Saccharomyces cerevisiae S288C: one gene and its partners. The gene in region 2 interacts genetically with the main gene of each other region. Each region holds a gene or a part of one and is shown on either strand. Other genes may lie near its edges.

Region 1 (5,804 bases), on a different chromosome or scaffold from region 2:
GTACTGTTACTGGTGTTATTCACTAAACTCGCTAATAGGTGCGGTAACAAAAGATTCTCCATATTATTGGATACGGATGGAGGAACGCTATTAGGGGAATTGCTTTGTTCATCAGTACCAACATGTGGCAACAGTTGCTGCTGTAACTGAACTTGCTGTTGTTGACGAAATTGCTGTTCTTGTTGATGATGAAGTTGCTGTTGTTGTTGTTGTAACATGATGGCATTGTCACTCAGATTTTTCTTGCCTACCCTATCGTGGACCGCTGATGCAAATTTTGACGACGAAGAATCTTTTCTTCTTCTTGGCTGAATAGGGCTGTAAACACAGTCCAATTTCATGTTTGTACATTTCTTGCAAAATGGTTTGCCTTCATCACATTTTACTCTTCTTCTTTTACAATTGTCGCAACCGGTCTTGGACTTGTTATGAAACTTCCGTTTCCCTGTCGAAGTCTTGCTCACTTTCTTGCCCCCAACCTCAATCAGTTCAGCATCCTTCTCTCTTTCTTGTCCAGCATTCCCATCATCGGATGTCATGTTATGTTAGATGGAGATCTATGGATAAACGAAATATAAACCTTAAATGAAAAAAACCGTCGACTTAACTCCTCTATATTATGTAAAGGCGAAATGTTATTTGTGCCTTTGAAAAGTGGAGGTCTTGGTTGCTTCTCCTTCGACGATAATCGATTTCGGTGACTAGTTAGTAGATGATGTAATCGTAGACGCAGGGAACCCTTGCTTTTCCCCAATCGTAACAAAAAAAAACAAGGGGAAATAAACTATTAGATAGTACGAGTTCGTTAAGTTAAAAAAAAGGCTATAAAAGTCGAAGAACGAATGATTACGACCAACATCTATTGTTCAAACTTGCCTTCGTTGAGTTTATCGAACGCGCTCGTTTAAATTTTTCCGACAAGAACGAGGAACGAGTCACCAATTACGTTTTCGGCTCTGTCGGTTGCAGGATCTGTAAAAGCGATATAGATACACACGTCAGCATGAAGCTCTTATGATTTGGCGAGTAGTGTTAGTACGTTAAATGCTACGACTCGGCATATACTGTGCTCGTTTTTATCAGTTTCATCCGAGGATTGTAGCCTTTTTTTTTCATTTGTTGATGTTTCTCTAGTATTTTCCGTCTTGTAGTGGTTTCGGGTATGTTGAACATAAACATTAAAAAAGACGATTAAATAAACTTGAGTTTGTACAAAGGAAAGCTGTAGTCATAGAGTATTTAGAAAAAAAAGCAGCCACAGTTTACATGAAGATGTGACCAATGAGGAGGCATCGGTTTGCCTTTGAATCTCAATCGCTTGAAAATTGAGTTCTTTTCGAATGATGACACCTCCGAGAAATGGCATTTCTATGCTAGCGCCACTCTACCCTTTCAAACGTCCGTACTCATATGAAGTTTCATCCTTCACGCAGCGATCTAAAAAGTTGTAAAAAAAAATACATTTAGGCCTAGCTATATATGCTACTATGTATCATTCAGTGAAATGGCTGAGGTTATATAAAATACTGGGAGGTCGTTTTTACGCTAAAGCAGACCTTGCGGATCTTTTCCTGTAGAATATATTTGTAGCATAAGTCCAATTTTACGGGCGCATTTTCAAAATCAAGGTGATATTGACATATTTTGAAGAGCACCCAATGGGCTAGCTGCAAGAACAAAGAGACCAGAAAGCCTAGAATTAAATGCCAGAAAAATGGAAATTTATTCTAGACAAAAATTGTTCGGCACCTCTACAGACGTTTAACGAACCTGGTCCGGCCTTTGAGGCGATCAAAAAAAGGCCCATTTTTGTGTTCCGCGTAATTGGTTTGCGCCTTTCCATGGAGCTTGGTGGGCGACATTCTCAAACTGGTTTCCTGATACATCATGCACGCCCGTAAAGGGTTTAAGTATTGATTGCTAGCCTGAATGTTTCATATGCATACCGTGTCTATGCAACGAATATATTTCAGAAAAAAGCACGAAAGCCAAATTTTTGATGTTAAGAGGTGTTTTTGCCCGTAAACGGAGAAGACGTGGTAGGACTCGCAAATGTCGCGTTTAGCGTTGAAGAACATGGAAGTATTGAACGTTTGGGGCTTGACGGCTCGACTTTTTTGCACTACTCCGCCTTGAACAGACGGATGATCCTGGCGCAAGAAACAAAGAGAATCAACTCTGAGCAAAGCGAAAAAATGAAATACAACGATAATAAAAGGATAGGAAGGTGTATATATAAGTTAATTTTAGATATAGATTAAGAAAAGATGGGCATATACTAATATGACTACAAAATTGCACATTTTTTACTTTTCTTGATAACAGGAGGCTCCAAGGCGGCCACGATAGCTTCATCGAATACATTCTTCAAACCGCGTTGTGTTAGTGCCGAACACTCGACATATTTTACTGCTTTCAGTTCTCTTGCTAACCTGGAACCTTGTTCTGATGTAATCGGACGTAATCTTTGTCTTTGCAACTTCTCGATGATTACCTTGTCATCCCTTAGATCAATCTGCGTACCGACGACCAGGCATGGTACACCTGGACAATGGTGATGTACTTCAGGGAACCATTTTTCTTTAACGTTTTCAAAAGAGGGTGGGGAAATAACACTGAAACAAACCAAAAATACATCAGTAGAAGGATATGACAAGGGTCTCAATCGATCGTAATCTTCTTGACCGGCCGTATCAAACAAACCTAACGTATATGGTTCATCACCAATCATCACAGTCACCGCATAGTTATCGAACACTGTTGGAACATAGTCGGCTGGAAATTGATTCGTTGTATAGGAGATTAGAAGGCACGTTTTCCCAACAGCACCATCACCGACAACAACACACTTTAGCGTTTGCATTTTGTGGAAGAGCTAATACGTTTATTTCTTGTTTTATAAGTTTTGCTTCTCTAATTCGTTTGTTAACCTATCTCCTCAGGAAAATAGAATAGTATAATAAATAACGAATATAATTTTTTGCGACAAAGGAAACCTATTGCAAAAAGTGAAGAATGACAGAGAAGGATAATCAGTATATCTCGGTACACCTGGAACCTATTTATCAAAACGCTGCTCTTGCCTTTTCCAAGAATCGCGTCTATCATCGATCAATCAACCTTGTTTGCTTTTTTTTATCACTTTTTCCCGTATCTTGTTTCATTTGGAAGGGCCCAATGGAAGCAGTATTACCCGTATTGAATGACCCTTGAATCGACGGTGGAAGACATCTTTAATGCGATGTTTAGAAGACAATGTGCCGTATTTACCTGTATATGTGGATTATCTAACAGTCTACAATACAAAATTAGGTGTAACGTAGCTACAACAGTTGATAGAAATAATGCAACTTTTTTTAAAAAAAAAAGAGAAAGTGCTCGAGGTGGGGATTGAACCCACGACGGTCGCGTTGCTTTTAAAGGCCTGTTTGAAAGGTCTTTGGCACAGAAACTTCGGAAACCGAATGTTGCTATAAGCACGAAGCTCTAACCACTGAGCTACACGAGCATTTTCGAAAGAGACGTAAATTAAATTGTTATTTATACCGTAGATGATTGTTTTTCACGAAATTACCCTTTTGAGTTCCGGCTTGTTTCGTTCAACAGTACTACCACTGATAAGTTAGCTTCATTATTGGAAGAAGGTTGATAAATGAAAGAAGATTCACGACTATGCACGGCAACTGGTAAGTAATACACGGGCCCAGATATTTATTTTAATTCTTGGAAAGAAAGTATAAATTTATAGGTTCGCTATCAGTAAGTATACGAATTTCAAACTACGTCATATATAATATCCAAAAGAAGATGAAGGCGATGCGGTCACTCTAGGACTACAACTTATCCATCGCCTCATTTAGTGCATTCACCGCAATGTATACATCTGAAAATGTATTATATAAGGGAGCAGGAGCCAATCTAATTACGTTTGGTCTTCTTGCATCGCCAATGACACCATGGTCATGCAAATATTGGAAAACTTTGGGCATAATATCCTCTTTTCCAGTGTCAGAATCGAAGTAAAGTGACAATTGGGCGCCATGTTCTTCATCTGTGCTTGTTGGAGTTAATATTGTAAAAAAACATGGTAATTTCTCGATCCTTAAAGGGTGTTTGTAATACTTGGAGGCTTCCAACAGTTCCGTCATATAGTTCGTCAGCAACAACGATCTTTTACGAACTTCATTAATACCATTAAACTTCGCAAATAATTCCAATGAACTTCTCAATGCCACTGTGTCAATAACGCTTGGATTAGATTGCCTGAATCCCAATGCTCCTGGAATCGGCTCGAATACTTCCAGCATTTGAAATCGCTTAGCAGGATCATTGCCCCACCAACCAGCTAATCTTGGCAAACTTTCCTTAGCAGGGTCTGGTTTAGTATGCTTCGAGTGGACAAATAAGCCACCAATTCCACCAGGCCCGGCATTCAAGTACTTGTAAGAACACCAACAGGCAAAGTCAACACCCCAATCATGAAGTTGCAATGGGACGTTCCCTACAGCGTGTGCTAAATCCCATCCAACCAATATGTCGGGGAATTGGTGGGCAAATGAGGTGATTCGGCCAATATCGAAATATTGCCCCGTGTAATACTGAACACCTGACAAACAGACCAGCGCCAATTCATCTTGATTTACCTCTATGGTATCCAGGATATCTTGAGTTCTGATATAAGTCTCTCCCTCGCGTGGCTCGATCTGAATAAAAACATTCTCAGGTTCCGAAATTCCATGAATTTTGCACTGGTTGTAGAAAGCATAATAGTCTGATGGAAAGGAGCCCTTTTCAAAAAGGATCTTGAATCTTTTCTCAGTAGGTTTATAAAACGTAATTAACAATGAATTCAAATTTGCAGTGAGACTATTCATTACTGCAACTTCATTTTCTTGAGCACCCACGATGGGGGCTAGTAGTGGAAGAATAGGTAAGTCAATGCTGACCCAAGGCACCTTTCCTCTGGCTTCTTCAGGATGTTTGAAATGCGATTCCACAGCACAATCGCTCCACGCATCTAGCTCAGCATTAATTGAATTCCTAGTTGACTTCGGCATCAAACCTAAAGAATTCCCGCATAAGTACGTCACAGGCTTATCGTCGGACGATAGTCCCATGGATTTAAATGTAGGGATGTTGAATTCATCCCTCAGAGATTCCGGATATTCTCCGTCTAATTCCAAAGCTTTCTCCATAATTACCAGTTTGTTTCTTTTTTCCACAGAATATTTAGGCTTAATATGTACGTATTGACAGCATATATATTTGCTGTCTTGAATTTATTATGCTAATAAATAATTATGTTTTTCAAGCGCAGTCACCTATTTCCAAAGCGATGGGTTTGTCCGTGCCGTAGACGGCATCCCGTCGTTTTAATAACCGTTATAAAAACCGCCCCCATATTTTCGTGGGTTGACGACGACAGGCGTGGACGACGTTAATTGACGTCGTCATAATATATTTCATATTATGATTTTTTCCCTCACCATTACTTGTTCTCTCAAGTAGGAGTATCTGGCACTTGGACGGTGATGTCCTCATCAGCATCAATTGCTTCGTCTGGATATGAGAGAAAATCAGAGGATAGTGGGCCAGTGATAGTTTTTCTCCCTCGTGAAGCAGCATGTTTTACCAACTCAGAAGAAACGCCATCTTTTTCTGGGAGCGGAGACAATTTTTTTGTTCTCCGGACATTTGCAAATTGTTTTTCCAGTTCTGTCACAGCTATTTTCCCGGCTCTTTTGCGCTGTTGTTCATCTCTTTTGGCCTCAACTTTTCTCGAAGAGACTACTCTTTCCTGTTGT
Region 2 (8,163 bases):
CACTTTGCCATTGGGACTAGAACTAGAAGTCAACGAGGAATTCGCATCAGCAAACTCAAAAAAAACATCCAACACCAAAATTTTCTTCAAGAATCTGCCGTTTTTATCCAAGTGGAGCTTCACCAGGATTGGTTTGTCTAATGAATAATTCCATTGTGCTCTATGATGTTGCACATGCACGTGTTTTGTTGTACCTCTACTCTGGGTCGAAGTGGTTTGATGCTCACCGTCCAGAGCCACTTTGTGTCCCGACGTACCTGTTCCATCCTTCAAACGCCATTTCGTGTAGCAATAGCCAGAAGATTGAGGAATATTTACCAATTCTTTGATTTGCAGGTCCAGTAGAAACTTTGGTCTTTTTGCCTTGCTATTATGATTAAATGGCATCTTAATATTTTGTGAGCGGTATTATACCTTTCTTGGGTACCTAATACTTCTAAGCAACCTGAATGAAATTAGAAGGTGTTCACTCCTTCATTAGCAAGTGAGCTTTGCCGTTGTCACCGTACTTGGTCATCTTAAGAGATACAAAGGGGGGGGACCCTGAGAAAACTTCTCCCGAAAAAAAAAAAAGAAATATACCCACGCGTTCTTTACCCGGAAATAAATATCTTGATTTAGCCGCCGAGATTGTTATATATGCATCCAAGACCTCTGAATGGTGGCTAATTAAGACACTTAACTGATTACGTTTCCATCAACTGCTATCATGTTCGCAATATTTGGGCAAGAAATGAAAAAGAAAAGTTACCAACTCTTCTCCCTTCTACGAGCGGTGAATACATGGGAGCCGAGCCGCATGAAGATGAAAGTAATATTAAAATTAAAGTCTCTATCGAAGCAGTGACTCTCTCCCTATCAGCCGGTAAATTTTTTTAACGAAGTGGAGCTAAATTATCAGAAAACGTAGAGCTGGTATGCTGGTAGATCTAAACGAAGTCCAGTTTACATCAAGATGATATCGTGCAATATTTACTACGGCATGACTTAACAGTACAGTCATGATTTAGGAATTTGAGTGTTCTCCGGGGTTTTGCAGATAAAAATTTGTTTTCTTCTCTGCCATTCCTGGAGATTTTGAAAAGAGTTGGTAATGTGTTTCAAAAGAAAAAAATACATTCCAAGAATAAATACCAGGATTTCGTGACAAAAATTAAAAAAAAGGGAAGTATGGCATGCCTAGAAATCTTTTCTGGAAAACTTGAAGCATATCATATAATTGTATGAACTTGTCCTTCAAAAGATGTTACCAAATATTCAAGAGTATGTGAGCTTTCTATTCTATTGACGCGTAAGAAAGGCTATCACGTGTGGGGGGGAGAGCTCAGCCACATTGCACTACTTTCGAAACCGCGTAGTCGGAAACGACATTCCCCCGTACCAAAACAAACGAAAGGACGTGAAAGGTAAATGAATAACATGGCACTAAAAATTTGGCAGAAAACGAAAAAAAAAAGGAAAAAGAAACTGAAAACTATACGCTTCCCTTAGGATACTTTCTGATTTACATCCGAAGAATTGGGTGCGTCAATTAAAGGCAATTCTTCGCTCTATCAAGCAGTTTTACTGCGTCTGTCTAAAGAAACAATTGTTTTACTGAATTTCAACAAAGTTCTAACTCGAGGTGACCGGAGGCCACTGTAATAATAAAAAATAGAAGATGAGTCTCGAAGGAAATACCCTAGGCAAAGGGGCCAAATCTTTTCCTCTGTATATTGCGGTAAATCAGTACTCTAAACGAATGGAGGACGAGCTCAATATGAAACCAGGTGATAAAATTAAAGTCATTACTGATGATGGGGAGTACAATGACGGCTGGTATTATGGGCGCAATTTGAGAACCAAAGAGGAAGGTTTATACCCAGCGGTATTTACCAAAAGAATAGCAATAGAAAAACCAGAGAACCTGCACAAATCACCAACCCAAGAGAGTGGAAATTCTGGTGTTAAATATGGAAATTTAAATGATTCTGCGAGTAACATAGGTAAAGTCTCCTCGCATCAACAGGAGAACAGATATACATCATTGAAAAGTACAATGAGCGATATAGACAAAGCCTTGGAAGAGCTAAGAAGTGGTTCAGTTGAACAAGAGGTATCAAAATCGCCCACACGCGTGCCCGAAGTTAGCACTCCACAGTTGCAAGATGAACAGACTTTGATTCAAGAAAAAACCAGAAATGAGGAAAACACGACACATGACTCGTTATTTTCTAGCACAGCGGATTTAAACTTAAGTTCTGAATCTTTGAAGAATATAAGTAAGTCAAATATATCAACAAAATCCCTAGAACCGAGTTCGGAATCAGTTCGTCAATTAGATTTGAAAATGGCTAAAAGTTGGAGCCCAGAAGAGGTTACTGATTACTTTAGCTTGGTTGGATTTGATCAATCCACTTGCAATAAATTCAAAGAGCATCAAGTCTCCGGAAAAATACTACTGGAATTAGAACTGGAACACCTAAAAGAATTGGAAATAAATTCTTTTGGTATAAGATTTCAGATATTCAAAGAAATAAGGAACATCAAGTCTGCAATTGATTCGTCGTCAAATAAACTGGACGCCGACTACTCTACCTTTGCTTTTGAAAACCAAGCTGCCCAACTAATGCCTGCAGCCACTGTAAATAGAGACGAAATCCAACAACAAATTTCCTCCAAGTGTAACAAGTTGTCAAGTGAAAGCTCTGATAGAAAATCATCTTCGGTCACCACAGAATTGCAAAGACCAAGCTCGGTTGTTGTTAATCCCAATTTTAAACTTCACGACCCAGCTGAGCAGATCCTAGATATGACAGAAGTTCCTAATTTGTTTGCTGATAAAGATATTTTCGAATCACCGGGAAGGGCTCCAAAACCACCATCATATCCAAGTCCAGTTCAACCTCCACAATCGCCCTCTTTTAATAACAGGTACACAAATAATAACGCAAGGTTTCCTCCTCAAACAACATATCCACCTAAAAACAAGAACCCAACCGTTTATTCAAATGGGCTAATTCCAAATTCTTCGACATCTTCCGATAATTCAACGGGCAAGTTCAAATTCCCTGCCATGAATGGTCATGACTCGAACTCTAGGAAAACAACACTGACATCTGCTACTATACCTTCTATTAACACGGTTAACACAGATGAATCTCTACCCGCAATTTCAAATATATCTTCAAATGCTACATCTCATCATCCGAACAGAAATTCCGTTGTTTACAATAACCATAAGAGGACGGAATCCGGAAGCTCATTTGTTGATTTGTTCAACAGGATTTCAATGCTATCGCCAGTCAAGTCAAGTTTCGACGAAGAAGAAACGAAACAACCTTCAAAAGCTAGCAGAGCAGTTTTTGACTCAGCACGCAGAAAGTCGTCTTACGGACATTCAAGAGATGCCTCACTTTCTGAAATGAAAAAGCATAGGAGAAACTCTTCTATATTATCTTTTTTTTCTTCAAAAAGTCAGTCTAATCCAACGTCACCAACCAAACAAACTTTCACTATCGATCCCGCAAAGATGACTTCCCATTCTCGTTCTCAGTCGAATTCCTATTCGCATGCAAGATCACAATCTTACTCCCATAGTAGAAAACACTCGTTAGTTACCAGCCCCTTGAAAACTTCTTTAAGCCCTATAAATTCCAAATCCAATATTGCTTTAGCGCATAGCGAAACTCCTACTAGTAGTAATAATAAGGAGGCAGTATCACAACCAAGTGAAGGGAAGCACAAGCACAAGCACAAGCACAAGAGCAAGCACAAACACAAGAACAGTAGCTCCAAAGATGGCTCTTCCGAAGAAAAAAGCAAAAAGAAATTATTTAGTAGCACCAAAGAATCATTTGTAGGAAGCAAGGAATTCAAAAGATCTCCCAGTGAACTTACCCAAAAATCTACCAAATCGATACTTCCCAGGTCGAATGCTAAAAAGCAACAAACATCTGCTTTTACCGAAGGTATACGCTCTATCACAGCAAAGGAATCTATGCAAACTGCGGACTGTTCAGGCTGGATGAGCAAAAAAGGTACCGGTGCTATGGGGACTTGGAAACAACGGTTTTTCACACTTCATGGAACAAGGCTTTCTTATTTTACGAATACCAATGATGAGAAGGAGCGTGGCCTGATAGATATAACGGCACATAGGGTCTTACCTGCCAGTGATGATGATAGGCTCATTTCCTTATACGCTGCGAGCTTAGGAAAAGGAAAATACTGTTTCAAATTGGTCCCTCCGCAACCGGGGTCCAAAAAGGGGCTAACCTTTACAGAACCTCGCGTTCACTATTTTGCAGTTGAGAATAAATCTGAAATGAAGGCATGGCTGTCAGCCATAATAAAGGCCACTATTGATATTGATACAAGCGTCCCTGTCATTAGTTCATATGCCACACCAACGATACCTCTAAGCAAGGCACAGACGCTATTGGAAGAAGCTAGGTTACAAACCCAGTTAAGAGATGCTGAAGAGGAAGAGGGAAGAGATCAATTTGGATGGGATGACACCCAAAATAAAAGAAATTCTAATTATCCAATCGAACAAGATCAATTTGAGACCAGCGATTACCTGGAAAGTTCAGCATTTGAATACCCTGGTGGCAGACTTTGAGAACTGCAATCATTAGTTACTTCTTGACCAACTTAAACACCTTAATAATTAATATTTAATAGAACATAATATAGTGATATAAAGTATATAAAAATAAAAAGTTTACGAATTAATACAATCAAATTAGACACTGATACTATCAAGAAGTACATCGCAGGAACCGCAGACATGATGTCCTCTTCTTTCAAATTACTGGATATATATATTATTATTATTGTTACCATTAACGTTATTATTATTAACTATTACTATTACATTAACTTAAAAATAAATATGAAACAACGAAGAACAAAAAGAATTATGAAAACATTTAACATGTTTCAATTTGTTATGTTTTGGCCAACCTGCGTTTATTCTTGCATATGACATTTTTGTAATTCATCGATGATAACTTGGTTACCCTTTGGATCCAAATTCATAGCAACAGTTAGCTCCTTGATTGCATCTTTTTTCCTCCCAACTATTCTATATGTTTGACCCAGCAAATAATGGGCTGTGGCATCATCAGGAACGAGTTTCACCAATTCTTCAAAAGTTTGCAAAGCAACATTATATCTTGTCATGGAATAGAGCAACTGGCCCATCTTATATTTGGATAGCGAGGAAGTCGGTTGCAAATGACATGCTAGTTCATAATATTGTAGAGCCTTTTCCTTATAGCCCAGCTTTTCTAAAGAACCACCGCAACAACAGATTAACACAACATTGACGGGATTAATTGACCTTGCCTTTTCAAAATATAACAACGCTTCTTCATATTGACCTAATTTCATAGCGCTCGTACCCAATCCGTAATATGCATTGTAATGCTGAGGATCACAAGCTAGCGCCTTTCTATAGCATGTCTTGGCAGAATCCGAAGAATCGTTGGAAGAATGTTCATGACCTTGCAAAGTATACGCGTATGCAAAATTTGGGTCTAACTGAGTAGCTTTTTCGAAGGCTTTTATTGCGGCATCATGATCCTTTTGCAATGATAGCAAATTACCTATACAACACCATGTTTCGGGCTTATTAGGCATTGTATCCATTAGCCCATTTGCCAAATTTGAAGATTTAACCTTGTCATGCAAATGCCACAGCAAAGTAGAAAAAATTTCCATATCTTTTACCCTTGCCGGTTGTAGGTCTTTCAATCTATTGAAATACTTTAAGGACATATCATAATTAATGATCTCAAAATGAAGTTTTCCTAATTGCACTAGACACCATGGCATTGTGTCTTTAATATGAGATGGGATTTGAGACTCGAACAGTCTTATTGCCTTGAACGAATTGTATTGTGATGACGACCTTAATATTAAAGCGAAATTATACATGATTTCAGGCAGCGTAATTGAATAATCACTCGTTAGTATTGAGTTACTGATTATTAAAGACCTTGGATTTTTCTTGGAAGTTGTTAACCTTCCTGTTGAGGAATATAGGTTTCTTGGAGTTTTGAAAGTTGTTTTATTTATAATGTTATTATTATTATTATTATTATTATTATTATTATTATTATTATTATTATTATTATTATTATTATTGTTATTTTGGTGGTTCCTATCGTTATTTAACAGTTTCGATGGAGGAGTCGTTAAAAGTTTGTTTCTGTTATAAACTTTGGCCAACGAGCTTATTGTAGGCTGTTTGGAGGATGGAGACACTAAGTTCATGGAAATGTTATTTGGTAGCGCAGAAGACGTCTTACTGTTGATTGCAGGGTTTTTAGGAGTTTGAGTATTTTTGTTCTGGCAGGTCCTTATTGATGTGTTCGCTTGTTGCTGCTGTGACCTTGAGAAATGCTGAATGGAAGAAAAAGAAGATGCCGATGTAGAAGGGGGAGAATTAGACGACTGAAACAGTGTATTAACATTATTATTGATATTATTATTGCCGTTTTTGTTTGTTTTTGAATATAAGCTAGGTTGTGAACGAGGTTCGAAATGCGATAGTGATGTAGACGGAAACGATGAAGCTGCATTATTATTATGACTATTACTTTTTTTCCCTGCAATGTCGAAAAAAACCCTCTTGAGATCCACGGTAGCTCTCATTTTACAAATCGCTTCGTAAGATTCCCAAAGGTAAGGATTAATGGCTAATGCTTCAGAATGATAAAATGCTCCCTCCTTAGAATGGTCCAGTTTCATATAAAGATTGCCTAACAGGCAATTCAAAGTGGCCAAATCGGGAATATGGACGAGATTAGAATTCAACACCATATTTATGCGCGTATTACTGCTGTTCGAAGAAAATACATTTATTATTGAGAGAAGAGTGAGGATAGCTTCGTTAACTCCCTGCGAAAGCTGTAAAGCACAACGCCCGAATATGTAAGCGATACCAAGATGATACTCCTTGAATTCTTTGGATATCTGGAACGCAGTGTGGTAGCTTTTATTCAGAAACAGCGAAAGTGCATATAAATATACCGCATCGGACCAGTAAACACTTGATTTATCGAGAATGGAGCATTCAGCATAGAGCAGTTCGGCCAAAAACTCTGCGGTACTGTAGTTCAACTGCTGAATAGCCTGCTGAATGCAGTCCTGAAGCTGTATGATGGTGCTCAAAGCTTGATCATCAAAGCTGGGGATTCCTCTCGAGAGGGTGAACGGTGCTAACTCAGGATTTACCGCCATGCTATTTTTATTATGTATCCTGCACGAAAAGTTCGTGTCGATTTATGAATAGATATGCAGTCACCAAAACAGAGTCTAAAACTCTCACAGCTAGGTATGGTTTTTTGATAAACTTTTCTGTGGCACCTTTGCTTGCACTTTGATCCTTTTGGTTTACTTTCAGCCTGTTCCATCCTTTTGATCAAAAAAAAAAAGGAAAATCAAGCGCGGGTAATAACGGCACCATTAAATACTAGTAGTACTATATAGATGGTATAAAGAAATGATTTAAAACAATACGATTATATGATATTTATACATCTGTTTCAGTTGAGCTTTTTTTCCATAGAGCTGGTGGTACGAAGATGGCTTTTGGCGAGGGCGACCGAACCAGATAGCTGCGTCAAGGCCAATAGAAGCAACAGAACAGTATTCAATGCCAACAATAGCGTGCTTGCTTGTGAGTTTGGTGGATAGGAATTCCAGCACCACTCGTGCAAGACGTACCAAATGGGACCAACGAAGAAGGGCATTCCCGACCAAAAGATCAGTATAGGCAAAGTCCAGTGATACCAGGATAGAAACTGGTAGTGGAGGGACCTTGAAAATAGGACGCCGATGAAGTTGGATGCGATTAGAACGAATGGAATAGTCTTGGCGGGATTGGCATTGAGCACTGCATTTTTCCTCAGCGGATGGCACAGGGAAGACCATAAATCGGGCAGGATGCGAGGGTATCTTGTGACGAACAGTGTGGTGAGCGCTATCAGGTGGCTGATTAAAAGGGCCAAGTGGAACCTCTTATCATTGAAAGCCTCTTCATCCATCATTTGCCAATTGATACTCCATTGGTACATAAACTTCCTGCCGAAATTAAAAGCGCAATGCAGGTACTGTTGCGGAAAGCTGCGCAGGAAGGGCACTGCAACTGCGACTTGCCATGCAATCATCGCA
Region 3 (5,896 bases), on a different chromosome or scaffold from region 2:
TGTGGTTTGAGTAAACAACAAGACTGGCAGGTAAGTTTTTTAAATGAATTTTCTTAGCAGGGTTATTGCGGCGCACGTCTATAGGTGATTTACCTTTGTTCCTGAATATACATGATATTCTTAATGCGACAGCGCCCAGGGAAGCAAAGAACGCCGACGAAAGAGCGGCGGAGCAAAAGGCGCAAAGTGACACCTTCCGATCCTGGGAAGTGATCGGTTTCGCTGTTCGGGCTTTTCTTAGACAAATAAAGTTTAATTTTCTTGCTTTCTCTTTTTGGCTAAGAATTCTATATTGTTCTTGAAACAACTTTGTCACACGTTCTAAAAATAAAATGGAAAATGGAAAATGAAAAATTAGAGAGAAAATGTATTACTGAAGAATGTGGTAAAGACATTTGAAAAATATTTAATATATTACCTGAGATCATTCAAAGGAACGCATCGGTGCAAAGAAACAGTTATAGCATTAGAGTTAAGTCAAGAGCACTCATTATTACTTTAAAAGGTCGTTGAAAATAGAATAAATTGACACTCAAAACGCAAGAATGACAGTAATCACCATTGCCAAGAGAGGCCTTCCAAAATTAACCACTTCCACTTCTTCGACAACAACTGCCAGTTCAAGTAGTACGATAACATCTGTTGCTTCTTCTTCATCTTCTTTACCACTTTTGTCCAACTCTACATCCTCTTCTATTATACCAAGTATTACTCCTCCCTCTAGAAATGGTAATCCTTATATTTTGGATTCCGGGGATATGCCTAATGGAACAGTTTTCATTGTAGTGGGGGGAATCGCGGGAGTGATTTTTTTGGCAATATTGCTATGGTGGGTAATAACAACTTATTCTTCGCATAGGTTGACCAGAAGTGTTCAGGACTACGAATCAAAGATGTTTTCCACACAACATACCCAGTTTTACGGCGATTCCCCATATATGGATTATCCCGCCAAAGAAAATTTCCAAGATCAGGTCCATATCAGCGAGTCCGATATTAGTCCCGGAAATAAGGATGAATCGGTGAAAGATGCACTTGTATCTCATACTAATAATGAAAAACCATTCTTAAGTAATTTCGAAAGGCCGCTATTCTCTCTTGCATCCGAATCCAACAGAAATTCACTTTTCATTTCACCAACAGGTGATATCTTATACAAAACAAGGCTATCTAAACTTTACCAAGAAAGCCCTAGATTATTACAGAAACCTGTGATTATGACAAGTGATAATGTATCTACAAATTCTCTGGTGTCTACAATCTCTTCATCATCCGCATCGTCGCTCGATAACGGTAATGAAAAGGAGGTGGGTGAAGACATAAGGAAACCCGCAAAAATTGCATCTTCACCAAGTCGAAAGCTGCTTAATTCACCAGAAAGTGATGGTAGCGTAAATCGTAACCATAGTAAGGGTAATTTGTTGGTCGTACAGTCCAAAAGAAAACCTACACCTTCGACTTATCTCGAGCACATGCTGGAGGGGAAAGAACAGGATGAGTAAAAACTTTTATGATATTTTGCAATATTTTTTTTAAGCAGTGGTAGTAATTACATAAAAAATATAAAATAGTAGGAGTATTATTAACTTCTATAACTTATTATATTATTTGTTTAGTCTCTCTTTTTGGGTTCTATTCTTTTGTGTGTGCGTCCGTGTCTTATTATATTACATAATGGTACAGCTGGATCCACTGTCACTTTTCACTTCGGTTGCTACTGGGCCCGCGGTTAAAGCAACTCTTGCGGCTTCTGTGAAAGCTTCGTTGACACCTTTATTCAGCTTAGCGCTACATTCCAAATAACGTAGCGCACCGATCTTTTTAGCCATAGCTAGACCTTCTTCATAACTTATCAGGTTTTTGCCGTTTGAGGTGCTATTTATGTTATTTCCGTTGTCGTTAGAAACGCTGTTATCCTGTTGGATATTGTTCGGTGTGATTGCGTTAGATTCATTTTCATTGTTTCTTAAGTCACACTTTAGTGCAACTAAGACTAACTTGACGCCTTCACAATGATCAGTGATTTCACCCACCCATTTATTTTGGACATTTTCTAAAGAATCGCGTGAATCAATACTGAAACATAACATTATACATTGCGTATCTGAATAAGACAAGGATCGTAACCTGTCAAATTCCTCTTGGCCCGCAGTATCCCACAACGATAGCGTGATATGTTTACTGTCAACGAAAATATCATGGATATAGTTTTCAAAAACAGTAGGCTCATAAACTTCGGGAAAATAACCTCTGGTGAAAACATTCAGCAACGAAGTTTTACCACAGGCACCGTCGCCCAAAATAACGATCTTTCTTTCGATCGGTTTATTTGACGTTGAAGCTGACCCACATAGAAATGACATGTTTGTTTCCCTTTACCTTGTGCTACTATGGATTTTAATGAAAAACTTGTTGTTATAAAGTAAAAAATGCTGACCAGAGCTAGAGATGAGAACGATAAAAAAACGAAAATCAATGGTTGCCTATTTTCCAGTAAATTCAAAATAATACATGTTTTTTCTTTCTTTTTCTTTTCTTTTTACTGTTTACCAATTTTCAGGAATGTTAAGAAAGATAAAAGAAATATACAAGATGCCATTAACGGGTAATGGCACCAGTATATCTATGACGGGTAATCCTGTTAGTGGATGTCAAAAAACGTTCTTGGGGTTTCCCGGACGCCTTACACTATTTTGTAAAAAAGCTCATCCACACCCCTCTCCTTGTATTTCTTATCTATAATCTACTATTTCTCGCGTAGGTGCGGTAACGCTGTTCCAAGAAAAAAGTTGGCCGACGACTGGTTCTGGGCCGGGCTCGACCGGAAGTGGTAAGTGGCCTCAATTTGAGTTTCGCTTACTCCTTCCATTCTTACAACACACCCGAAGTTTAATTCACGTGACCAGATAAGGGATTTATTATATGTTTATTGTAAAAAAAATAAGGTAGATAGACATATTACATTTCCTCGTGCTTATCGAAGTATTTTTCTTAGACATCTCGCATGACCACAATGCTGGCTCGAAGGCATTTACTCTTTCCTTGGGGAGATGTGCTTACTGTGATTGATTATGTATTCTTGCGTGCATCTGCAAATCTGCGTTGACTAATTTCGGAGTCTTTTAAACACAGAAGCATTACAGGCCCCTCTCCTCACTTGTGCCCAGTATGCAAGTGTGCTTTCCTGTGAAAACTCCTTCATTTTCTTTTCTTACGCATATGCATAGTCGGATTCCAGCTATTTCCATAGTAAAGAAGAAGAAAAAGTAAATACTTCCTTTTCACATGGGCCGGCCGATGCAGGTCCTCAGGTACTTCGTTTATAAGCTTATATAAGCATGCAAAATTAAACGAGGTGGCTGCTTTAAGAGCGTGCAGAATATAGTCACTTACTACCCTAAGTTAGGACTTTGTCTTAGGAACAAACACATCAAAAATGTGCAGAACAACAAGCCCGCGGGGGTTTTTGCGGTTGACTACTCCTGCTTCATGTCTTTTCTCCCCTGCCATTTGTGCTTCTGGATTTGCTTGAAGGTAACCTTAAAGGATCTGCGCATCTTTCTCTTACGAAAACAAGTATAAGATTTTGCCTGGGCAAACTTAAATTACGGAAAAAGGAGTCGTCGAGAATGTTGCCCTTCCACATTTGGATTAGCTGATAAACGTAAATTGGGGGGGGGGGGGGTCGGTTAAATTTTGTCGACGGGAATGGAATTTTCTCTGGTATTTGCCGCAGCTTGCAGATAGTAGAGCCGATCTTGTGAGGTTAACACCGCATATGGCATTCTGTTGCAAAGTTAAAATGCGTCACCCACCCTAGCGCCTAGGGTCGAGTACTGTTTTAAACTTTTTCAAGACCGGGCGTACCATTGTGCTTGTTCCTTACTTCGTTATTTTCTTGCATATTATATTGGTTGAGATTATTTCTATGGACTATATATAAATAAGGGACGGTCGTATTGTTCTTTTATGTCTGCATCCTAAAGAGTATTTTTTTTTATAGTCTTGTTTTCTTGTTCAAATTAAAGAAAGATCTAATAGTTTTCGTAATACTGAAACTACTCTTTTTTTTTCCTTACAATCTGACTTTTTTTGTATTTCCTTTTTTTCCGTTTGGTTATCCAGACTACAGTTCATGGTAGTATATCATATTATCGTATTCGTTTAACTATTTCTCAGTCCTTTTTTTTAAGTCTTTTTTTTTTTTTCTCATCATTTTATTACTGATATTTATAAAATGTACTTGGAATATCTTCAACCGAAGTTGAACCTAATGGATGAGTCTAGCACTATAAGCAAAAATTTCCCTGATTATTCACCAAATTTAAACACACCCATTACTTCAAATTTTAATGAAGAAACGGGTTCGGACTGCTCTTTAGTTACTCCAAGAATAATTTCCAGTTCAAATTCGAATTCGAACTCCAATTCTAATTCGAACTCCAACTCCAACTCAGGCTCTATTGACGAAAATGAGCTAAACAACTCTAATTCATCCTCCTCGTCTGCAAGACAGATAAGGAAAAAATGGAAAGAGCCTGAGGATATAGCATTCATTACTACAATAATGAATAATTCTCAATTACTAACATTCGTAGAATATTTCAAGCCTATGAAGAATTTTTGGAAAAAAATTTCAAAAATCCTATTCCAACAATATGGGTACGAGAGAAACTCTCGTCAATGTCATGATAGATTTAAAGTCTTATACACAAAGTCTTTGAAAGTGCATCCATCAAAGAAATCCAAGCAAAAGAAAAAAAAATCAAAACAAGAGGCAGGCTCAAACTTAAATTTTGATCCGTCAAAATTATCTAGAATGCAGTATTTGCTAGTGCAGTTACAAAACACTTTTAGTTTTGTAAACGGAAACATTATACTCAAGTCGCAAAAAACATTGAAGCCGAACAAGAATGGTACTAATGATAATATTAATAACCATTATTATAATAATTGTAACAATAACAATAATAATATTAACAATAGTAACAATAGCAACAATAATAATAGCAATAATATTAATAGGAATAGTAATCATAGTACTAATGTTTTTAGTACACCAGAGCATATTCAGTCAAGTATCAACCTCGATAAATTAGAATCTTTGCCAGCTTTGGATACCAAAGGAGAACCATCCTTCATTAGCCCGGCTCAATTTTCCCTTTTGTCATCAGCACCGGCAGACAATCTAATCCTGCAAACTCCACCATCGCCATTTTTCCAGCAAACAATGCCTATACAGCTACCGCGCGATGCACAACAAGAACAAATTTCCCCAGTTTTCTCTACAGATGTCATATACATGTGGCAAACAATGTTTAACACTATTGAAAATTTAAAGGAACAAGTAAACTGCTTAAAAAATGAAGTTAAGCAATTAAACCATAAATTTTACCAACAAAATAAACCGTTGCATAATATGTCAACTTCAGACTCAGAAAATTTTATGCAACAACATTAAAGTATGTATCGGGAAGTCTCCACCATAAATTTTCTACCCCTTTAATTCTAGCACATTCCCTGTTTCCCTTCACCCTCATCAATAATTTTCAATTCGTCGTTTCACCTTTTAATTAATTTTAAATGCTCATTTCATTTCTGTTTTAAATTTTATGTCTGTTTTGTATGCTATTTCATTTTTCATTTACTTCTCCAGGGAAACAAGACAATATTACTTATATATACATTTATATTTATGCCCATTCAACATCCGATTTTTTTCTATAAAATAAGTGAAAAAAATAATGAAACTTAACGAATCTGTCACCAAGAAATGTCCTTATTGTTCATTTTGGATTTTCTCAAGTTTTATCTTTGGTTGAAGCAGTTTATGTTTTGTTTACTTGGACAGCCAAAAAGAGAAAAAGAAGGTGAAAATTTTTTATGTGATCTCTTC
Region 4 (5,486 bases), on a different chromosome or scaffold from region 2:
TTTCATCCAAAGTAGCCTTTACGGATGCACTTGTAAATGTTAGCTTTTGTATAAGTAGCTCCTGTGGTGCTCTTTTCCTAAGATCCTCTCTTATTAAAAGATTGACATCCTGGACAATATCATCCCATTCTTCTATCATGCCTGCTGATTTTTCATATAAACCCAAAAAAGAACCATACTCTAGCTGAAATAAATCTGAAAGATTACTTAGAATTGCATCCATGACTTCTTGTGAAATTTTGTCCATCAGCACAACAAATCTTTGAACTGGATAACCTGAATATCTGAACTTCTTCAAAGAAGATGCTAAAACAGGAAATAGTTCCTGCAAGTCCTCAAGATTGCTTGCCTGGCGAACCTCATCGATAGGGATTGACGATAGAAATTGGTTATATTTATCCGCTAGCTTAAATTTATCTGAAAGTGAACCTTCATTCAATAAATTTGTTAAATTATGAAATCTCTTTGCGTTTGTTAGAACGGATAGACACACCTGAAATTCTTGGCTTTGTGTTTGTTCAATTAACGACTTCAGTACTTCGTAGAAATTCGACCAAAACTCAACTTCGTCTAAAAAAGAACCATTTTTTATATCTCTGTCAATGGCTAATGTTTGTTTAAGAACCAAAAACCATTTGTTTGCAATGCTTTGTAAAATGTTCAAAAATCTCATACTTTCCAAATCATTACTAGGAAGGTAGTTTGCATAATCATGTGAAGTAGCCCCTTTTGATACAGCCAATTTGATAATGCTAGGGACCATCGCTAAAAGATCTGGCGTTTCAATTGAGGTATGTAACTGTTGAAATTGTTTAGAAATGTCGTCAAGTTTCCTCCTCGTTTTATCTATAGTTTCGACAGAATATGTCTTTGTATCTGATTTTATCAATTGGCCAAACACAGACGATACGCCATGTGTGATAATTGAGGCCAGGTTCCCCGCATTTACTGGACCAGGTAAGTATATGGCACTTATTTGTGTTGCAATCGGTTCTGCATCCACAATAACACTTCTAGATTTAATAATTAATAGAGTAGAATACTTTTTATTCGCCAAGTTGGCATCATATATAGCCTCTTCACCAATGTCTATTGTAACTATTGTTCTATCCAGCTCTTCAAAAAGGAAGACAAACAACGTGTCGAACTCTCTCCCATCCAATAATCCCAAAAAAAATTGAAACCGTTCAAGGTATTGACAATGTAGATAATCAATGAATGCTTGCTCATTCTCTTTGGGAGAATTCTTTATACCCGTTACAGTAGCTGCAACAAATTCTATCAGCTCATTAGCAAGTCTTGCCTCATTCTTGCACATTGCCTAAAAAACGTTTTGACGTACTTTCCAATTTAAGCTCTGAACGAGTATTATTGCCCTTCTATGTTCTATGCTTTCTGTTAATTTTTATATGTAATGTTTGTTTACCTTTCATTAGCTTATTTATTAGAATCCGTACAATGCGACCTTCCGCGCATCAATTCGGGATGATCTGATTAAGTAGTTATAGCCTTACGTTAAGACGACAAAAGACATGATAAGCATCCCTCAAAAGTTACAGCAAACTTAAGTCAAATAGGTCCAAAAATCTCCAATAGTAACGCTTTTTCATGAATACACTATTATTTAAGCGAAAAGGTGGCAATTGTGGGAACGAAAGTAACATAGTTTCGCAGGGATCGCCCTCAAGTAGCAATCTTCCTGAATCACCTGGCACTTTAGATGAAAAGAATCTTCCCAGATTGCCTACTCCATTCGCTAGAAGCCTTTCTACCATTCCTAGTTATGAGCAGATGAAACGTACAAACAAACTGCCAGATTATCACCTAAAGATTGTTGTTGTGGGAGATGGCGCTGTAGGGAAGACGTGCCTGCTGATATCTTATGTCCAAGGAACATTTCCGACTGATTATATTCCTACTATTTTCGAAAATTATGTCACAAACATAGAAGGACCCAACGGTCAAATTATAGAATTGGCATTATGGGACACTGCCGGCCAAGAAGAGTATAGTAGACTTAGACCGCTTTCATATACGAATGCAGATGTGCTGATGGTGTGCTATTCTGTTGGTAGTAAGACATCGCTTAAAAATGTGGAAGATCTCTGGTTCCCAGAGGTTAAGCATTTTTGTCCTTCCACTCCAATCATGCTAGTCGGCCTTAAATCAGATCTATATGAAGCTGATAACCTTTCAGATCTGGTGGAACCAAGTTCAGCAGAATCCTTGGCCAAGCGTCTGGGGGCATTTGCACATATTCAATGCTCAGCACGATTGAAAGAAAATATCGATGAAGTATTTGAAACTGCCATACACACGTTACTTTCCGATTCATTATATGCTCCCAGAGAGCCTACACATACAATCAAAAATCCCTTTAAAAGAAATACCACCAGATCAGATATCGATTCTTCTACTGGAGATACCAGCGTCTCTATTTCCGGAACGAAAAGATTAAGAAAAAACAAGTGTATTATAATGTAAGAATAATGATGAAGATTATTCTGTTGCCCATTCTGTACGCACTTACAACATTTGAAAAGTGGCAAGAAAAAATACACACATTTTACTATCTTCCGCTATCTTATTTATCAAGACGAAACAATTAGAACCTGATTTAATTTAACTTCCATTTTTCTGAATCTGGTGTGATATACCGCTCCAATATATTCGAATTTATCCCAATTTTATCATAATAATTCATTTTAATTCGATGTCATAAAGTACTAATTCGATATTAATCTAGCCTAATTACATTAAATACTTAATAAAAGCTTCTGTGACATAAAAGTACAAATCTGTCATTTTATTTTAGAGGAATAGTTTAGGACAAAGTCATTATGTACGAACAGTTTGAATTTTCTTTTTTTTTCTTCGAAAATTCAGACAATAAGGTTAAATATAAAGCTCATCTCATCTCATCGATAAAACGCTGGAGTATTATCACATGCATGCGTTGCTTTTGGACCGTACAGAAGTCTATATTTAAAGCTAGGTTTTTCGCTTGCAGAAACTTTGTCAAGAAGCATAATTATAAACTAATCAGCACCATGACTGGAAGTACTGAAATGGTACCACCAACAATGAAACATACCGTTGACAACAAAAGGCTTTCGTCTCCTTTGACAGATTCTGGTAACCGCCGGACTAAGAAGCCAAAGTTGAGAAAGTACAAGGCCAAAAAGGTTGAAACAACTTCTCCGATGGGTGTCCTAGAATTTGAAGTGAACGATTTGTTAAAATCTCAAAATTTGTCCAGGGAGCAGGTTCTGAACGATGTTACTTCAATTCTAAATGATAAGTCCTCAACAGATGGACCTATCGTCTTACAATATCACCGAGAGGTAAAAAATGTCAAGGTCTTAGAAATTACTTCCAATGGCAACGGGTTGGCTTTGATCGATAATCCTGTTGAAACAGAAAAGAAGCAAGTTGTTATCATACCGTTTGGCCTGCCCGGTGATGTAGTTAATATCAAAGTCTTTAAGACCCACCCTTACTATGTCGAGAGTGATTTATTAGACGTAGTGGAAAAATCTCCAATGAGAAGAGATGATTTAATTAGGGATAAATATTTCGGGAAATCTTCAGGAAGTCAATTAGAGTTCTTAACTTACGATGACCAACTAGAATTGAAAAGAAAAACAATTATGAATGCCTACAAGTTCTTCGCACCAAGGTTAGTTGCTGAAAAACTTTTACCCCCATTTGACACCACCGTAGCTTCCCCTTTACAATTTGGCTACAGGACCAAAATTACGCCTCATTTCGATATGCCAAAAAGAAAACAAAAGGAACTATCAGTAAGGCCTCCTTTAGGATTTGGTCAAAAGGGTAGACCTCAATGGAGAAAAGATACTTTGGATATCGGCGGACATGGTTCGATATTAGATATCGATGAATGTGTGCTTGCAACTGAAGTTCTCAACAAAGGATTGACTAATGAAAGAAGAAAGTTTGAGCAAGAGTTTAAAAACTACAAAAAAGGCGCGACTATTTTACTGAGAGAGAATACCACTATTTTAGACCCTTCCAAACCAACTTTAGAACAGTTAACCGAAGAAGCCTCTAGGGATGAAAATGGTGATATAAGTTATGTCGAAGTCGAAGACAAAAAGAACAATGTCAGGCTGGCTAAAACTTGCGTTACCAATCCTAGACAAATTGTCACTGAATATGTTGATGGATATACTTTTAATTTTAGTGCGGGTGAGTTTTTTCAAAATAATAACTCTATCCTGCCAATAGTGACCAAGTATGTCCGTGATAACTTGCAAGCTCCCGCTAAAGGTGATGATAATAAAACAAAGTTTCTAGTAGATGCTTATTGTGGATCAGGTCTTTTCAGTATATGCAGCTCCAAGGGCGTAGATAAAGTGATTGGTGTAGAAATTTCCGCTGACAGTGTCTCTTTTGCAGAAAAAAATGCAAAGGCAAATGGTGTTGAAAACTGTAGATTCATCGTTGGAAAGGCTGAGAAACTCTTTGAGTCTATTGATACTCCAAGTGAAAACACTTCCGTTATCTTGGATCCACCACGCAAGGGCTGTGACGAATTATTCCTAAAGCAATTAGCCGCATATAATCCAGCCAAGATTATTTACATATCGTGTAATGTCCATTCCCAGGCACGTGATGTCGAGTACTTCCTCAAAGAAACAGAAAACGGTTCCGCCCACCAGATTGAAAGCATAAGAGGATTTGATTTCTTTCCACAAACGCACCACGTTGAGAGTGTGTGTATAATGAAGAGAATCTAATTGCACATATAAAATATCTATCACTATGTATATCTTTCTAGAGTAAATGTCTTCCTGTACTTTTAAATCCGTACATTTTGAAAATTGAAAATGTATCTCAGATTCATTTTTCAATTCGAAATGAACGAAAATTACACTAAAAAGGTAACGTGTAGAGTGATATTATGCACAACGATTTTTTGAAAATTTCATATACGTTATTCTAATGTTTAGTAGAGAGTTTAGCGGAAGATATAAGGTGATCAGGCGTAAATTAACCACATACAAACCATAGAAACATCATACCAAAATGGAAAACGATAAGGGCCAATTAGTATGTTCGAGAAATCTATAAGATTTTTTATATTTTAACGGATGAATGGAAAGTGCATGGCTGTTTAAATAAATGTAAGAAAGATATCATAATGCAAACAAAACGTAGGCATCCGCAATGTATGGAAAACATACTTATGGTTACCGATAATAAGCAACTCCGAAGGTGCCATAGACCAGCTCTGAATGCAGCCTACAAAAGTTGAGCAATTTCTGACAAAATTCTTCGATTACTTTCTTCACATGTATTAAATCATCACTCACCACCACCAACAATGTGTTTTTTAAACTAGCATAACTAACAAAGATTTGTTTTACATCAGGTCGAACTTTACGTTCCAAGAAAATGTTCTGCTACCAACAGAATCATCAAGGCTGATGACCACGCATCTGTTCAAATCAACGTCGCTAAGG

Evidence for each region.
Region 1: of BOI1 (region 2) and CDC42, extra expression of one rescues a mutant of the other (dosage rescue), as found in Saccharomyces cerevisiae (2 studies listed by BioGRID).
Region 3: of BOI1 (region 2) and RHO3, extra expression of one rescues a mutant of the other (dosage rescue), as found in Saccharomyces cerevisiae (3 studies listed by BioGRID).
Region 4: of BOI1 (region 2) and RHO4, extra expression of one rescues a mutant of the other (dosage rescue), as found in Saccharomyces cerevisiae (2 studies listed by BioGRID).

What each region holds. Positions count from the first base shown.
Region 1 is NC_001144.5:601,925-607,728, forward strand, and holds CDC42 (Rho family GTPase CDC42), read right to left. Parts: upstream 2,864-5,804; coding exon 2,288-2,863; downstream 1-2,287. Other genes in the region: ECM22 (Ecm22p), read right to left, coding at 1-539; BNA5 (kynureninase), read right to left, coding at 3,834-5,195; EST1 (Est1p), read right to left, coding at 5,501-5,804. UniProt on the Saccharomyces cerevisiae protein: Involved in development of cell polarity during the cell division cycle, and essential for bud emergence. Affects signaling in the pheromone-response pathway through the STE20 protein kinase.
Region 2 is NC_001134.8:62,216-70,378, forward strand, and holds BOI1 (Boi1p), read left to right. Parts: upstream 1-1,660; coding exon 1,661-4,603; downstream 4,604-8,163. Other genes in the region: YBL086C (uncharacterized protein), read right to left, coding at 1-387; anaphase promoting complex subunit CDC27, read right to left, coding at 4,954-7,230; ALG3 (dolichyl-P-Man:Man(5)GlcNAc(2)-PP-dolichol alpha-1,3-mannosyltransferase), read right to left, coding at 7,536-8,163. UniProt on the Saccharomyces cerevisiae protein: Functions redundantly with BOI2 to promote the fusion of secretory vesicles with the plasma membrane at sites of polarized growth.
Region 3 is NC_001141.2:136,219-142,114, reverse strand, and holds RHO3 (Rho family GTPase RHO3), read right to left. Parts: upstream 2,364-5,896; coding exon 1,668-2,363; downstream 1-1,667. Other genes in the region: pheromone-regulated protein PRM5, read left to right, coding at 546-1,502; RPI1 (Rpi1p), read left to right, coding at 4,238-5,461. UniProt on the Saccharomyces cerevisiae protein: Plays an important role in cell growth. Required to keep the uninucleated state. Modulates morphogenesis during bud growth via directing organization of the actin cytoskeleton and the position of the secretory machinery for exocytosis.
Region 4 is NC_001143.9:546,608-552,093, forward strand, and holds RHO4 (Rho family GTPase RHO4), read left to right. Parts: upstream 1-1,608; coding exon 1,609-2,484; downstream 2,485-5,486. Other genes in the region: DYN1 (dynein heavy chain), read right to left, coding at 1-1,318; TRM2 (tRNA (uracil(54)-C(5))-methyltransferase), read left to right, coding at 2,841-4,760; 40S ribosomal protein eS21 RPS21A, read left to right, coding at 5,050-5,073, 5,396-5,486. UniProt on the Saccharomyces cerevisiae protein: Plays an important role in cell growth. Required to keep the uninucleated state. May be involved in the organization of the cytoskeleton which affects microtubule functions.